Mus musculus: one gene and its partners. The protein of the gene in region 2 purifies or fractionates together with the protein of the main gene of each other region. This does not show direct contact. Links are inferred from orthologs where the notes say so. Each region holds a gene or a part of one and is shown on either strand. Other genes may lie near its edges.

The links. Proteins that work in one complex are often made in the same cells at the same time.
Region 1: the proteins of Lrrc41 (region 2) and Drg1 purify together in Homo sapiens (affinity purification with mass spectrometry; 3 studies listed by BioGRID and IntAct, counting the BioPlex papers as one, with this or other methods). This does not show direct contact. The link is inferred for Mus musculus from reciprocal best matches to the Homo sapiens genes LRRC41 and DRG1.
Region 3: the proteins of Lrrc41 (region 2) and Cul5 purify together in Homo sapiens (affinity purification with mass spectrometry; 3 studies listed by BioGRID and IntAct, counting the BioPlex papers as one, with this or other methods). This does not show direct contact. The link is inferred for Mus musculus from reciprocal best matches to the Homo sapiens genes LRRC41 and CUL5.

Annotation. Positions count from the first base shown.
Region 1 is NC_000077.6:3,259,964-3,264,679, forward strand, and holds part of Drg1 (developmentally-regulated GTP-binding protein 1), read right to left. Parts: intron 2,702-4,716; coding exon 2,526-2,701; intron 1-2,525. UniProt on the Homo sapiens protein: Catalyzes the conversion of GTP to GDP through hydrolysis of the gamma-phosphate bond in GTP. Appears to have an intrinsic GTPase activity that is stimulated by ZC3H15/DFRP1 binding likely by increasing the affinity for the potassium ions.
Region 2 is NC_000070.6:116,073,106-116,079,547, reverse strand, and holds the start of Lrrc41 (leucine-rich repeat-containing protein 41), read right to left. Parts: upstream 4,280-6,442; 5' UTR 4,140-4,279; coding exon 3,941-4,139; intron 3,876-3,940; exon of another isoform or gene 3,214-3,875; coding exon of another isoform or gene 3,189-3,213; intron 160-3,188; coding exon 73-159; intron 1-72. Other genes in the region: Uqcrh (cytochrome b-c1 complex subunit 6, mitochondrial), read left to right, coding at 4,579-4,632. UniProt on the Homo sapiens protein: Probable substrate recognition component of an ECS (Elongin BC-CUL2/5-SOCS-box protein) E3 ubiquitin ligase complex which mediates the ubiquitination and subsequent proteasomal degradation of target proteins.
Region 3 is NC_000075.6:53,615,508-53,620,223, reverse strand, and holds part of Cul5 (cullin-5), read left to right. Parts: intron 1-2,213; coding exon 2,214-2,408; 3' UTR 2,409-4,716. UniProt on the Homo sapiens protein: Core component of multiple cullin-5-RING E3 ubiquitin-protein ligase complexes (ECS complexes, also named CRL5 complexes), which mediate the ubiquitination and subsequent proteasomal degradation of target proteins.

The sequences.
Region 1 (4,716 bases), on a different chromosome or scaffold from region 2:
GTGTATCCCTGGCTGTCCTGGAACTCACTCTGTAGACCAGGCCGTCCTGGAACTCAGAAATCCGCCTGCCTCTGCTTCCCAAGTGCTGGGATTAAAGGTGTGCGCCACCATTGCCTGGCAAACAAAAACTTTCTAATGGTCAAAGCTGTTAAAATATGAGTATGTACAACACTGAATTATAACACATGAAAAAATATCCACAACCCAACATTTATATAAATTCTTGAATAAATGGGTGAAGGGCAGCTCTTCATTAGAAATCCAGTTAACACAAGTACTGAACAAAAGCACTGAGAGCTACAGTTAGGACAGAAAGGAGTAAAGAACATTTAAGGAACATGCTGGATTCTGAAACACATATATGAACATTGTAACAGTACAGAGCTTAAGCAGGTGGAGAGATGGCACAGCACTGAGAACTTGCTCTTTGAGAAGACATGGTTCCTTCAGTTTTCACCACTCAAAAGGTGGCTCACAATCATCTGTAACTCCATTTCCAGGGGGTCACAACACCCTCTTGTGACTCAAGTGGTACACAGGCACACATGTGAGAAAATACACACATAAATAAATCTAATAATAAAATTAAACCTTGAGAATTAGAATGCAGATCTTTTTCAAAGTATCTCTCCTGAAACATCTACTGACTTTGAAAAGGAAACACAGAAGCCCTGCAAATACCATCTTAATAAACTCACAGAAACTAACATCAAGCCAGATGTAGCTCCCACAACAGATGAAAAGGCAGAATCTCAAACTCAAGGCCAGTTGAGCTACATAGAAAGAATCTGTCTCAAAAACAGAAAGACAGGAGAACTTGAGTTCAGATCCCCAGAATCCACAGTGAAGCAAGAACAAAAGCTCTTGCAATAACCTCAGGGTGGTGGGGTGGGAATTCCCAGGGCTAGCAAAAACATGAGTTCTGAGCTGGGCAGTGGTGGCGCACGCCTTTAATCCCAGCACTCGGGAGGCAGAGGCAGGCGGATTTCTGAGTTCAAGGCCAGCCTGGTCTACAGAAAGAATTCCAGGACAGCCAGGACTACAAAGAGAAACCCTGTCTCGAAAAACAAACAAACAAAAAAAAAGCATGTGGTAGGGCTGGAGAGATGGCTCAGCGGTGAAGAGCACTGACTGCTCTTCCAGAGGTCCTGAGTTCAATTCCCAGCAACCACATGGTGGCTCACAACCATCTGTAATGAGATCTGATGCCCTCTTCTGGTGTGTCTGAAGACAGCTACATAAAAATAAAACTTTTTAAAAAAAAACAAAACGAAACAAAAAGCACATGATAGCCACATTGAATGTATTTTCACTTTTCTGGTTGTGCTGCCTAGTCTTAGGCCAACTGGACACAACCTAGAATTATCTGAAAGGAAGAAACCCCAGTCAAGGAAATGCCTCCAAAGATCCAACTGTAAGGCATTTTCTTAGTGACTGATGAAGGAGCTGGTCTGGTGGTCCTAGCTTCTAAGAAAGCAGGCTGGAAAGCTGGAGAGATGGCTCATCTGGCTACTCTAACCAACACCCACATGAAAGCTCACAACTGTCTATAACTCCTGTTCTAGGGGATCCAACTACCTCACGGACATACATGCAGCCAAAATGCCCATGTAAATAAAATTAAAATAATTTAAAATAAAAAAGCAACCAGGCTGAGCAAACCATGGAGAGTGAGCTAGTGAGCAGTACCCACCCATGACCTCCTTCAGTGATGGGCTACAATGTGGAAGTGTAAACCTAGTAAATGCTTTTCCTCTCCAACTGGTTATGGTGTTCCATCCAAGCAACAGAAACTATGATATGACACACACTAACGTCAAGACACTGCCAACCCAAGTGTAGTGTCAGCACACCTCTAACTCTAGTACTTCACAGGCTGCAGCAAGGACAAACCTGGGAGTTCAAGGCTAACCTTTACTATATAATAAGACCTTTTCTTGGGCTGGAGAAATAGCTCAGCAGTTAAAGAACACTGGCTGTTCTTCCAGGGGATCTTACAGCTTCACACAGATATAACTTCAGGCAAAACACCAATGAACATAAAATAAAGATAAATAATAGAATTTTTTTAAAAGACCTTTTCTTAAAAAAGACTCAATTCTGCAAGTCATTTTGTGCATATAAAGCCCCGTCTCAGATGATCTTCCCTCAATGTCAGATCAAAAAGCAGACCCTTTTTTTCATATATTTTCATGGGTCCTATTTCACTCTAATAACTTTCTTGTTAAGTGTAGTAACTTTTTTTTTTCCCACAGGGTTTCTCTGTGTAGCTCTGGCTATCCTGGAACTCACTCTGTAGACCAGGCTGACCTCGAACTCAGAAATCCGCCTGCCTCTGCCTCCCAAGTGCTGGGATTAAAGGCGTGCGCCACCACACCTGGCAAGTATAGTAACTCTTAAAGAGATGAAGGGCCTACTAAATAAAAAGACAGTCCCGACATACTGTGGGCTATTAATAAAGCACTTCCTAAATGAATGAAAACAATGGGTTTCTTCCCTTTCTTGGCCTGAAAAATGTTACTCACCTGGATCTTGGCACCTTTATATCTGATGACACCAGGCACTGTGGTCAATGTAGTGAATTCATAGGCTGCCACTTCAGAATACACTCCTGCTAAGTTACTTAGCAGAGTTGATTTCCCCACAGATGGAAAACCCACAAACCCAATTCGAGCATCACCTGTCTTGGCCACATCAAAACCTATAAAACAGTAAGAAACATCAAAAACACAAATGTTATCCTTGGGTATAGTACACTTCACCTAATTCTTTTCATATTGTTGTTGGTCTGGTTTTCTAACTTCTAAAATACAGCTCAAGCATGAAATTCACAATTCAATAGTAATGCAGTACTAAAACAAAGAAATCCTTTATCACTTTATTTATAACAATTTTGCATAATATTTAAGGCCCAAAGATTACAAAAGAATTCATCTGCCAGGCAGTGGCAACATATGCCTTTGCCCCAGCACTCAGGAGACAGAGGCAGATGGATCTCAGAACAGCCAGGGATACAGAGAAACCAATCTCAAAAAAAAAAAAAAAAAAAAAGAAAGAAGAGAAAAGGAAAGAGAAGTAAGGAGGAGAAAGAGGAGGGGCTGAAGGTTATGAGGCATAGTAGAGCAAGCCTGTAGTCACAGCACTTGGAAGGTAAAAAGCAGAGGAAGCAGAAATTTAGGGGCCAGCTTGGACTAAGATCCTTTCTCAAAAACATAAAACCCTGGGGCTGGAGCACTGATTGCTCTTGCAGAGGACGAGACTCAATCCCTAGCACTCACATCACAGCTAGCAAGCTTCTCTAACTGCAGTCTCAGGGTCCCTGAGGGATACAGTATGCTCTTCTGGCCTCCAGGGGTGCTTCATAGGTGATACAAAGATACACACAGGCAAAACACATACACAAAATAGCATAGGGGTTGGAGATGGCTCTTCACAAAGCATGCATGCTTATTTCTTAGCATGCGCAGCTACACATGCAGTTCCAAGGGATTTTACTCCTTCTGGGCTCTGAAAGCACTGGTGCACATACAATTAGTAACCACATATTCACACATTTATTTTATTTTGTTTTGTTTTGTTTTGTTTTAATTATTTCTTTTGAGTTAGGGTAGCTATGTAGCTCTGGCTGTCCTGCCCCCTACATGCTGGGATCAAAGGCATATACCACTATCCCTGGCCCACACATAAATTTAAAATATTAACAATATCAAAAAAATAAAGCCAGAATTAGAGGTATACACCTTTAATCCCAGCATTCTGTAGGCAGAGGCAGATGGCACTGTGAGAGTTTAAGGTCAGCCTAGTCTATACAGTGAGAGTGTCTCAAACAAAACAGAACCACAAAAAACAAGATACAGATTTGAGGCTCTGTGTTTATCTCTGGTTTGGATTTTATCCGATCCCTGGGAATGGTGTGACCAGATTTTTTGAAATGGGATATACTTACATAGCCTAGGCTAGTTTGGAAGACTGGAATTTGCAATCCGCCAGCCTCATTCCGGAGTACTGTATGTGCATAGCTTTTGAGATTGTGTGTTTGAGTGGGCATGCATAAACTGGAAGTTGATATCAGGCTTCTTCCTCTACCCTCTAGTTCTCACTACCAGCCACCACCACCCAACTCAAAACATTAATTACACCTAATGTGGTGGCGCACGCCTTTAATCCCAGCACTTAGGAGGCAGAGGCAGGCAGATCTGAGTTGGAGGCTAGCCTGGTCTACAGAGTGAGTTCCAGGACAGCCAGGGCTACACAGAGAAACACTGTCTCAAAAGACAAAAACAAAAACAAAAAATTGGGCTAGGAGATGGCTCAGTAATCAGTGTGCCTGCCACACAACATGAGGACCTAATTGTGGATTCCCAACACCCACAGGTAAAAAAAGCCCTGTAGCAGCAGCACACACCCGTGATCCCATTGCTGCATTATAGGCAGGTCTCCAGAGACTGATGGATCGCCAGTCTAGTTGAACTGATGAGTTTCAGGATAAGTAAGACCCTATCTCAATTTAAAAAAAAAAAAAAGGACTGGTCTTCCTATGCACATAAACACACAGAAATGCATTCTTGGAAGCCAGACACAGTGGTGTGCACTTTTAAGCCCAGCACTTGGGGAGCAAATGGACTCTGTGGAGTTCACTGCTAGCCTAGACTTTATAGTTAAGTTCCAGGATAAGAAGTACACAAACAAAAAAAAAATTGTCTATGGGCATATGAA
Region 2 (6,442 bases):
GGTTATCAGTTACCTGAAGAATACCATGGTGTTGTCAATCATTGACTGAGAAAGAGTAAGAAAGGCACTTACCTTTTTTGAGAGCAGTTTCCTCAATCCTCTCCAAGTAATATATATTGAGCAGAGGTAAGATGCTTTGAAGTATTGGGCCTGGGAGGGCTACAAAAACCAAAACACAAAGTTTACTTTTTCCCTTCTTGGGTTCTAAACATTATCTATCTTAAGGCAGCTGGAAATTCAGAGGAAAGGAAAACTAAGCTGCTTGCTCACTGAGGTCAGCAAACTTCTGCCTAGGCTGGGCTGGGCTCTGAGTATACTCTGAGCTACTACCTTCCTATGAAGGTAGTAAATACTCATGAAAATTAAAGATAACTCTTCTCTAATTCATTATACTTTAAAAAACAAAACCAGTTTTTCCCTGGAACCAAGAATATCAGGAATTCAAAGCTAGTCTTGATTATGGATTGCCTTTATTTATTCTTCCCCCGGCAGAGAGAGAGAGAGAGAGAGAGAGAGAGAGAGAGAGAGAGAGAGAGAGAGAGAGAGAAGTTGGGGAAAATCTTACTCCAGCATTTGGGAGGCTGAGGCAGGAGGACTGCTGCAAGTTCAAGCTAGCTGGAGCTACATAATGAGTACCAGGACAGCCAGGGATAATAAAGCGAAATCCTGATTCAATAAAACAAAATGTGTGTATTAGGAGTTGTATGAAGAGGGAATAGATTAGAAATGACTACCTCATGACATTAAAGATCATGCTTGTAATTTGTTTAACACAATACCTGCCCATAAGATCAATGAATACTGGCTATTATTATGTTCATTCTGTCTATGCATCTCTACTCTATTAAGCTTACGATCTTGTAGTTATACCAAAACTTTCATTCTTTGACCTACATTTTAAAAAATATTTTATTTTAAAATTGCATGTATATGTGTGTCTATATAGAGGTACGTGCAAGTGAGTGAGGGTGCCTGCAGAGGCTGAAAGGTGTTGGGCCACTGGAACCGGAGTTCTATGCAGTTTTGATCTGATATGGGTGCTAGGAACCCAACTGTCCTGTCCTGTGTAAAAGGAATACTCTCTTTCCCGTACCTCTGTTTTTTAAAGTCAGGGTCTTTCTCCTAGCGTCCTTGTAACTTGAGGCAATCCTTCTGTCTCAGCCTCCTGAGAACTAGGATTACAGGTGTGAGTCAGCACACACAGCTTTTCCTCAGTGTACTTTCTCTTTACTTGAAGAATAACTGAATCATGAGGCCTAAGAATCTAGTGTACTTTTTTTTTATCTATTAGGTACTCATTAATATTCACTGTACCTGTTGAATGAGAACATTAATTCCCTGTGCTATTATAGTAATGTAGGTCTATCATCTGACACACTGTTTCTCTGACATCTATCTTTATATTCTCTCTCTCTCTCCTCTTCTCTCCCCCCCCCCCGATGACATACTCTGATCAAAACCTTTCAAAAGCTCTCTACTCCATACAAGATAAAGTTCAAATCTCACACCCTGATATTTAAGGTCATCTACCATCGATGAACTTTTCTCATCATGAGAGATCACTGAGAGATGTGGCACACAGCAGGAATGAGGTCAGAGGACAGTCACTTGCAGATCCAATTCTGCTAGTTGGGTCCCAGGAATGGCCTTGAGGTTGTCAGGCTGATGGCAGTGTCTGGCCTGACCTGCTGAGCATCTCCCTGGCCCACTGTCTCTCACTACACACTTGGGTTGCCTCCACTTACTCCCCTCTCTTCAGTGCTAGTCCACTAATGGCAGAAGCCTTTCCTGACTGCTCCCTAGCTCACCCTGAGGCCTCCCTCTGAAACAGCAGCGCTTGACAGGCCTTTTTCTTGGCACCTCTAAAAGTTCTTACAGAGTCAAGTTCTTACTGACTGGGTGGCTATTTACTGGATCTAGCCCACTGCAGGTTCTCCTGTCTCTTCTCAACTGGGAACAATGAAGTAGTGATGAGTACACAGAAAGAAAAGCCATGCCTTCAGAGCTTCCCCCTTTTCCTTTGGACTCTGCTCCCTCCTGCTTAGCAATCCCCTCTCACACCTCTCACAGGAATTCTCATCTCTTCAAACTACAAAGTCTACTGTTCCTTTATTCTTAAGACAGGTTCCTTGCTTGCTTCCAGCCGTACTTTTTTCCTTTTAAATGCTTCCTCTTTGCAAGTCAGGGCCTCCATTAACACCCAACTCCTCTTCTAGCCAAGATCAGCATCTAAAGACTCTCCAGGCTGATAACAGGCTGCCACATTTCCAGGACTTCTCTGAGCCCCTGTTCAACCCCAGGGAGGCCTTTCCTTCCATTCACCATAGGGTCAGCCTGACCTTTTTCTGCGCAGCTTGGCACGGGGCCTCCACAATCTCCTCTGCTCACACAGGGCCTGAGGACTTCTTATCCATCTCTTCTCCCCCACCCCCACCTCCTGGAAGGCGCTTGGGCCTTCTCAGCAGTGCTGGCCACTCTAAGGCCTTACAACCTATTCTGGGGCAGCAATCCTGCAAACCCACCTCCTGGGGCTTAACAAAACCCTCACTCTCAGTTCTTAACGGACCAGGGCCTGCCTTCTGGCAAAGATGTCACCACCACCTTGGATAGTCCCGGTGGCACATCCCCTGCACACTCCAAGGCCAGGAGCCTCCTCTGATGTTACCCTCTCCTCCTCCACCTTCCGTCTGGCCCGACCTGTGATCTCATCCAACTTCAGCCTGACCCTACTCCACTAGCACCAATTCTGTCAGGCCCATGGCCTCCCTCCCTTGTCTCCCCTGAAGGCCCTAACTTTCTCTTTAACTCTCTACTCTCACTTTTCACGTCGTGGACCCTTTCCCCGCTTAAGTTGCCAGGCCGCTGGCCTGCGGTATCCTCCTCCAGCAGGGCCTCCTTGCCATCTGGTCGGGGAGCAGAAGGCCTTGGCTCACACCGGAGCGGAGCGGACTGTCTAGCCGGGTCCAGCCCCTCCGTACCGGCCGCTCTCACAACTAAGGCCTCGGCTCCCTCCTATTCGGCCCAAGGCCTCTTCCCCATGACGCGTCTCACCCGACTCTAGCTCCGCAGTCCGGGATACCCTGGCCCCTGCCCGGCCTGAGGCCTCTTCGGCCCTTCCCGCCGGCCGGTCTCCCGAGCCTGTCCGTGCTTACGGAGCGTCTCCCGGAGCCCTCCACTCACTTTCCTACCTTCTCCACCACCGCCCCGGTCCATCCAGAAGGCCACCGGCGCTACCTGCTCGGCGGGCAGACCCGCAGCTCAGTTTAGCAGCGAGGTCTGGGGCGTCGGTGCGCTCCCTTCAGCCCTCGCTCGGGCCGTCAAACAGGCCACGGCGCTCCCAGCCTTTTCGGCTTCTCCCCGCGACTCCGGTCCCTCGCTCGCTCTCCACTGGGCTGTCCCACCCCGCCCATCCGCGGGGCTCCCGGAGTCCAGGTACCGGTGGTGTGCCCGGCGGACAGCGGAGGCCCCGGGCCGGCAGCGCAGGTGGCTGCGGGCCTGGCCTCCTTGCCTCGGGTCGGGCCTGCCAAAGTCGGTCCCTGCCCCGGGGCAGCCCGGCCATCCCTGCCCCGTCGGTTCGAGATCCGAGAATCCTCCGTTCAGTCCGGTCCAGCCCAGTGTCAGTTCCGAGCCTGTGGCTCCGGCCTGCTACTCCAGCCCCCGTCGCTAGGGCCCTGGCAGCTCTGCCCCGTACCGGGCCTTCTGGCCTCGCCCCCCGCGCCCCCCAGGCGAGCCGCGGCTCGGCTTCACCGGCTCCCTCGGTCTCAGGCTTCACTCCGTCCCGCCCTGTCAGTCACGGAATTTCTGTTCCGACTCCACCATCGAACTCCCGGGGCTCCCAGCTGGGCCTGGCCCCGGGCCTCTCGGCCTCGCCCCCCGCGCCCCCTGGCCGCCGGGCCGCCCCCGCTCGCTGCCGGAGGTCGCCCCTCACTCCGCGACTTACCCCACACCCCGCTCTCCAGAACCCCCATATGGGCGCTCACTGCCCGCCCGCACAGCTCGAACAGGGCGGGGGGAGCGCTGGGGCCCGAGGCCGAGCTCTTCGCTGGCGCCGCCTCCCGGGACGTGGCCTCCATGGTCGTTGCTGCCGCTACCTCACAGAACCAGCAACTCCGGGCGCGCCAGGCCTCGGGCGCCGCCATCTTGGGGAGGTGCGCGAGCCCGAGAATGACACCCGCGGGCCGCCATCTTGAAGAGGTCAGCTTTTAGGACCGCTCCATAAGGGATATGGGGAAGAACAGAAACAACATTAAAAGATCGTCAAACAGAGGAGCAGATGACTCAAGTATCTTAGGGAATACTACTTGGAAAAATACTGTAGATCAACACATTTGGGCAAGAAGTGACCGAAAGGATGTTTCTTAGCAAATTCTTTGCAGGCGTATATAGCAGCTCCCCCTACGTCTCGTAGCTAGCGAGTAGTACAGCCCAATTTGTGCGTGTGTTCGGGACTACGAGGAGTATGCCGCACTTCCGGCCAGGTCGCCGGATATCCGTCGAGTGACCCTTACTAGTCCTTCTTAAACCTGAAGTGGAGTACTACTCTGGTTGCGCTTGTTGGATCCCAAACCGGCTCCCGACATGGGACTAGAGGACGAACGAAAGATGCTCACTGGATCTGGAGACCCCAAAGAGGTAAGGCTTCGAGGTTGGCGGGCCCGGGACCTAGCTCAACAAAGCACCTCCCGGGGCTCTCTTAGTCCGGGTTTATAGCCTAGGGTTTGCGGGGTCCAGAGAGGTGGTTTCCGTTACTTACCTTCAGAATTCTTTGGTTGACCTTGGGCAGATTAATAGCTAGTCTTTCTCGGGATTGGCTTCCCCAAACCAGGAATGTGAAAGTGTAACTGGAGTTTATAATGCTGCACTGATAAACTTGTGTAAACAAACAAACAACCCCCCCCCAGGTTTTTGAGGTTCTAATTTGATAAATGTTTTGAGGTTCTAACTTGATAAGTGCGTGAAGCAAAAAACTAACGTTAGTCTTTAACGTAGCTTAGGTCAGAATTTATTTATGGAGATTTCGGGGACCCTAGTCTTCGGAAAAGTGCTTTCAGGAGTTGGGGTGTAGCTTCATGGTAAAGCTCTTGCCTAGCATTAACAAGCCCTGTATTCGCTTCCCAGCATCTCCAACAAAAAGCGGTTCTTTATCTTTTGGGATGGAGATGGCCGAGGACTTGTGCCTTTGGGGACAGTTTAAGAATGTGTAGTGTAATTCTGTGGTGCAAGAGGGAGCTCTTTCCCAAGTTGAGCATCATTGTGATAAATATTGGCTGCTTATGTGCTGAGTGCTTTATATGCACTAAGATACTTAACTTGCACAGTTTCCCCATGAGGTAAATATCAGGTACATTATATATTTTTGTCACTTTTATTACATGAGGCAGCAAGCAAGGAAGTTTATCTTGAATGAGGGCACACAACTAGCAAGACAATACAACTGGGACTCCAATGCAGACGTCCAGGCTTGAGAGCCAGAGCTCTAGCCCGAGACTCACTTTGCTTCCATTTCCTGTGCATTTGTCTTGTCTACTTCAGGACAAGCCATCAGGGCTTAATGGATTAATTAGTTGGCAAATTATTTATCCCTTAATTTTTTCAAGTTTTCATTCTCAGAAAGTTTAACAGGATACCACAGCAGATAGAAGTTTTAAAATTAAGAAAGTTGGGCATGGTGGTCCGTGTCTTTAATCCCAACACTCAGGAGGCAATGGCAGGAGGATCTCTGTAAGTTCAGAGCCATCCTGGTCTTCATATCAAACTCCATGACAGCCAGGACTATAGAGATCCTTTCTCAAAAAAACAATAAACCAACAAATCAAATAATAAAATGAAGAAAGTTAAATTAATTTTGTGAAAGATCCATAATGAATGGAGATGAAATCTTTTTATTCAGTGTGACTTTGGATTTTCTCATTGGTGGAAACAGAATTAGACCTGTATTTGGATTTGTTTAGCATGGTGTTTTTAGCACATTAGTGTTGTTATAGTAATGCCAATTGGGAAATGACACAGTTGTCTTGCTTCTAGAATGCTAATTTCAGGTGTGTCCCCCCCCCCCCCCGATTTTATTTTTACTTTAAGTGTATATTTGTATTTTGCTTACATGTATACCTTTGCACCACTTGCAATGCCTGATGCCCTCTGAGACCATAAGAGGGCACTAGATCTTCTGGAACTGGAGTTAACGTTTGTGAGCAACCATGTAGGAGCTAGGAAGAGCCAGGGTTTTTTTGGAAGAGAGACAAGTGCTCTTAACTGCTGAGCCATCTTTTGTGAGCATGTATAGGTGTTGGTTTGTGCATGCTTCTGTCTGTAGGTCCTTTCACATGGGCTCCTGGGATCAAACTCGGGTTGTCGGGCTTGGTAGCAAGCAATTTTACCTGATGGTTTTAGGACTTGGACCCAGGGCCTCAGGTATTCTTTACCACTGAGCTCTGATGTCAGA
Region 3 (4,716 bases), on a different chromosome or scaffold from region 2:
CAGGCTTTTAAAACCTCTTAATGTATTGCAAACTGATAGTTATTTTAATTTTAGAAAAAAGTCTCTTAATGGGACTGCTTCTTTTGTTCTACTTTTATAGTTTTTATTTAATATCATTCAAAATTCTGGTGCCAGTTTGAAGCACAAAAAAGATTAAGTTTTCATGGTCCTATAATCTTTACATTCCTGGATGGACAGACTTACCTTTTTTTCTATATATTTTTGATATAAAACCCTATTGGTAATCTGATAAAAGCCTGGTATCATTGGACAAGATGACTCATCAGGTAACAGAAACCTGGTGATCTGATTTGATCCCAGGAAGCCACTTAGAGATGTTCCAGGGCAGCCAGGGCTGCACAGAGAAGCAAAGCCTGCCTCAGACATACCAACCAACCAACCAAAGATGGAGAGAGCTGACCTTAGAGAGCTGTCTTCTGACTTCCACATGCGTGCTATGGCATGTACTTATAAACATGTAATATATAGTTATGCACAAAAAAAACTTAAATAAAAACCCTTGTAGCTGGATGCACCATAAATTATCTAGCCGGGCAGTTCTAGCACACGCCTTTAATCCCAGCACTTGGGAGGCAGAGGCAGGAGGATTTCTGAGTTTGAGGCCAGCCTGGTCTACAGAGTGAGTTCCAGGACACCAGGGCTATACAGAGAAACCCTGTCTTAAAAACCAAAATCATCATCATCACCATCAGTCATCAGTATCAATGAAAGACTGTCTTGCCTGTACAGGAAGTTGAAGGGTTTATCCTGCTGGACGCTAGCTTCCCGAGCCGATTTGTATGATTACAATCAGGTGTTAAATACAGCGTCCACAGCAAATTAGTTCAAGGATTTCCTGCAGGTCCCAGAATTTCTTGTATAAAGCATTCACCCTACAGGTTTTATACTATATATTTAAATAATCTTTAGGTCACCATAGCACCTAATAGAGTATAAATGCTTTGTGACTAGTCACCATACTGTGTTGTTTAGGAGGCAATGTTTAAGTTTGTGTGTTTAATACACATGCAACTATCATAGGTCTGATTATATTTTTGTGGTTGGTTGTTTGGTTGTTATTTGTTTTGTTTTGGTTGATTGGTTTCCTTCTTGAGACAGAGTTTCTCTGTGTAGCCCCGGTTGTCCTAGAAATCACTTTATGGACCAGACTGACTCAGAGGTCTGACTAGGATTAAAGGCAAGGACCACCATACTCAGCTCACAATTCTCTTGTTCATTCAGTCTGTGGGTATGGAGCTCATAGAACCAACTGTTTCTCTTTTGCATTTACTTTACTAGTCTTTACTAAGGCACCTTGTTGCTTTTAGTTGCCTAAGAAAAGCTAAAATTTAATGATGATTACAGTAGGTGTACTTTGCAGGTAATGTCATTGCCAACTTGTATGTAGTTTAAAAATCACCAAGAACATAATCGGTAAAATTGACTTAGGCGAAACTTGTTGATTTCTTTAGAAACATTTAATTGTCAAAAAATGAATTAAAAACAGGATCTGTGGTAAATTTTGCTATCACTTTATCAGTCTAGTTAATATGTAGTGTTTACTGATTTTTAAGAGTAGATACCCATGGTTCTCTTCTGTTATACAAAGATGCACCTTAATATTAGAGGCAAATTTGTGTAAGTGGAGTCTTATGTCTTAGTATTATCTATGTATTTGTATGTGTGTGGCCATATGTGTATGTGTAGGTCAGAGCACAACTCTTTAAGAATTGATACTATTTTTCCACCATTGGGTCCTAGTGCTGCACTCAGGTCATCGTGCTTGTTAGCGGACAGCGCCTTTACCGTCTGCTCGCTCGCTCGCTCGCTGGCTGCCATAGCAGTACTCACCTGTTTGCCCACAGTATCTAGAACTCCAGCTCCAGGGCATCCAGGGCTTTTTTTCCCAGCCTTTTCAGGCACCAGACTTGAATGTGATAAAGTCATACAAGGAGACAAACATTCAAGTGCATTATTAATTTTAATAAAACAATAGAGAGAGTATAGGTTAATTTTGGCTTCCTTTACTTTCAAAATCTTTGTGATAGTGTAATGGAGAAAAACTGTAGCTGCTGAGTGAGTCTCCAAATGATGACCTGGGGCTGCTGGGCAGTGTGGGTGCTGTTAGAAGATAACATAGGAAAAGTTACTGGTTTGCTTTGCTCAAATTAATTGAATGTATTAATGTACTTTCATTTTCATTTTTCTCTTAGGAAGCCATCATACAAATAATGAAAATGAGAAAGAAAATTAGCAATGCCCAGCTGCAGACTGAATTAGTAGAAATTCTGAAAAACATGTTCCTGCCTCAGAAGAAGATGATAAAGGAGCAGATGGAGTGGCTGATTGAACACAGGTACATCCGGAGGGACGAGGCCGACATCAACACCTTCATCTACATGGCCTAGCCGGGCCGCTGCTGCCGCACACACGCCCCTGAAGGCCTGGGCAGAGGCTGTCCCAGCCCCAGCTGGAGGAAGCTTTATTTGGACTTTGATTACATAAATATTAAACTCTGCCTTACCTTACAAAACGACTCTATTTTGCCAGTCACATTAGTTAGCATGATGGCATTCCCTTCATGTTGCACACTCTTTAACAGCATGCTGTTTTGTGGAGAAAATTGCATTCATGAAGAGCCCATTGTGAACTTTCAAAGTCAATTCAATTTTTACCCACCTAGAGAAATAACATGTCGGAAGGGTGAGGGTGGGGTTCTTTTTGCTTCTTTTATCCCCTTTTCTTCTTCAAAGAAATATACTTGCACAAGGAAGGATTTTCAGATATTCATGCACTGAAAAATGCTGGGGATTTTTGTTTGTTTGTTTGGGTTTTTTAAATTCTTTTTTTTTTTTTTTTTTTATGAAATTAAAGCTAGACGTAGCACTAAGCTACTTCTGATGCAAAGAATGAATCGTCAACACTGTGCTGGGCAAGGGCAGGCACACTTGAGAAGACACGTGTGCCAGTGTCAAGTTGTTTGTCAAACACTGCTTTCACTTTAGTGACTGGATCTTAATGGTAACCTGAAATGGTATTAAATATTTCTACCTTATAAATCCTGATTTTCAATGAGCAGGAGAGTTCTGTTTAGTTATTTGTTGTTAAATGATAAAGATTTGGGATTTTTCTTTTAAACCTTGTACGGCTGGAGAGCTTGTTTTGAAAACATGAAGTTTATAATGAATGTTGCTTCAGTTAAAAAATGTGTGGGTATACGTACATTATTGATTGCATAATCAGAATCTTGAAGCAAAAATTAAGTGTGTTACTAATACACTCAATTCTCATACGTCTAATATTTATTATACTGTACCTGAATTTGTTGAAAACAATGCAGAAATATTCTGATGCAGTGCAGTGAGAGAATTGCTTTCTTAACCTGTAGCATAGAATTATTTGGTGATTGAAAGTGTTGTGATTAGGGATTTACCACCTCAGTTTTCTGGAAAGACATTCTCTATTTAAAAGTAATAATTACCTGCCACTTAGCAGGAAGAAAGGTGAGATTACAACCTGCAACCTGAAAAGCACTCAAAGTTGTTAGTCTTAACATGAGCAGTAACCTTGCCAAATATGTACATATATTTATATATTTTAAAAATAAACATTTTTAAAATGTTCAGAGGGCAACACCTACCTTGCTCCTCTCAGTGATCCAGAGCAGTGACTCAGGACTTTACAGAGCAGTGGAAACTTAGAGATTGAGGACTCAAGCAACTGAAGAGAATTATTCCCCAGCAGGAAAAATGGCTCCCTGTGGATTTTACTCATTGTGGTGCACGTTTCGAGTTTTCTTGCAAATTTTAGAACTTTTGATGTTAAGTAGTATTTTGAAGTATTGGTTCTGAAGCTAGCAGAAGATGGAGTGTTGAGAAGCATACAGTATTATCTATCCTATTACCACAGAGGGCTGTGGATCTGCCCTGCTGCTCAGCAGCTGGGGTCTCCTTGCTGGAAAGAAGTAAAGTATATGTTAGATGTTTAAGGCTTTGATAATTATAGTCATATATCTGTTGTGAAACTCATAGGAAGTTGGAAGTGCATGTGTGCTTGCTGTGCCCTGCAGCTCTGAGGTGATGGCTAAAGCAGGTGTGCAGCGCAAACTCAGTCCCTGCTGCTCTACCACGTGGAGGATGGAACATCCGGAATTTAGAGGGATAGTTTTATCATGACTGTTCAATAGCTTGGTGTTGGCAAATTTTCCTGTCCCAATACCAGAATGCCAAAGGAGGAAACAATCAAGGGAAAAATTTTAGGCCATTTAAAATGACAAAAAAGATTTGTCATTTTAAACCATCATTTTCTTTAGAACATCTTTGAAATTTCTAATCGCTTTGGTCATTTAAGAATGAGAGCTGTGATGTTTTGATTTATAAAGGCAAACTTAATGCAAAGTGGGTAACACTAAATCCATAGCAAAGTTTTTTATTAAATTTTTATAAATTTTTTAATAGTTAATTATGTCCTAATTGTATTTTGGGGAATGAGCAGCAGTAAATACCACAGACTTAACAGTTTCATCCTTTTTTAAAAATATATATATAAGAGTGTAACTACTTTTTGGTGTTTATCAAAACTATTTAGTTGACAAGGTGCCTATACCATTGTTGGGATTTTCTTTAAATGTTTTATGAATAGATTTGATAATTTATCTGAAGATCCAGAACCACTGACAGCGCCCCTCTCTCTCCCTGCAGACTTCATAGTCTTGCT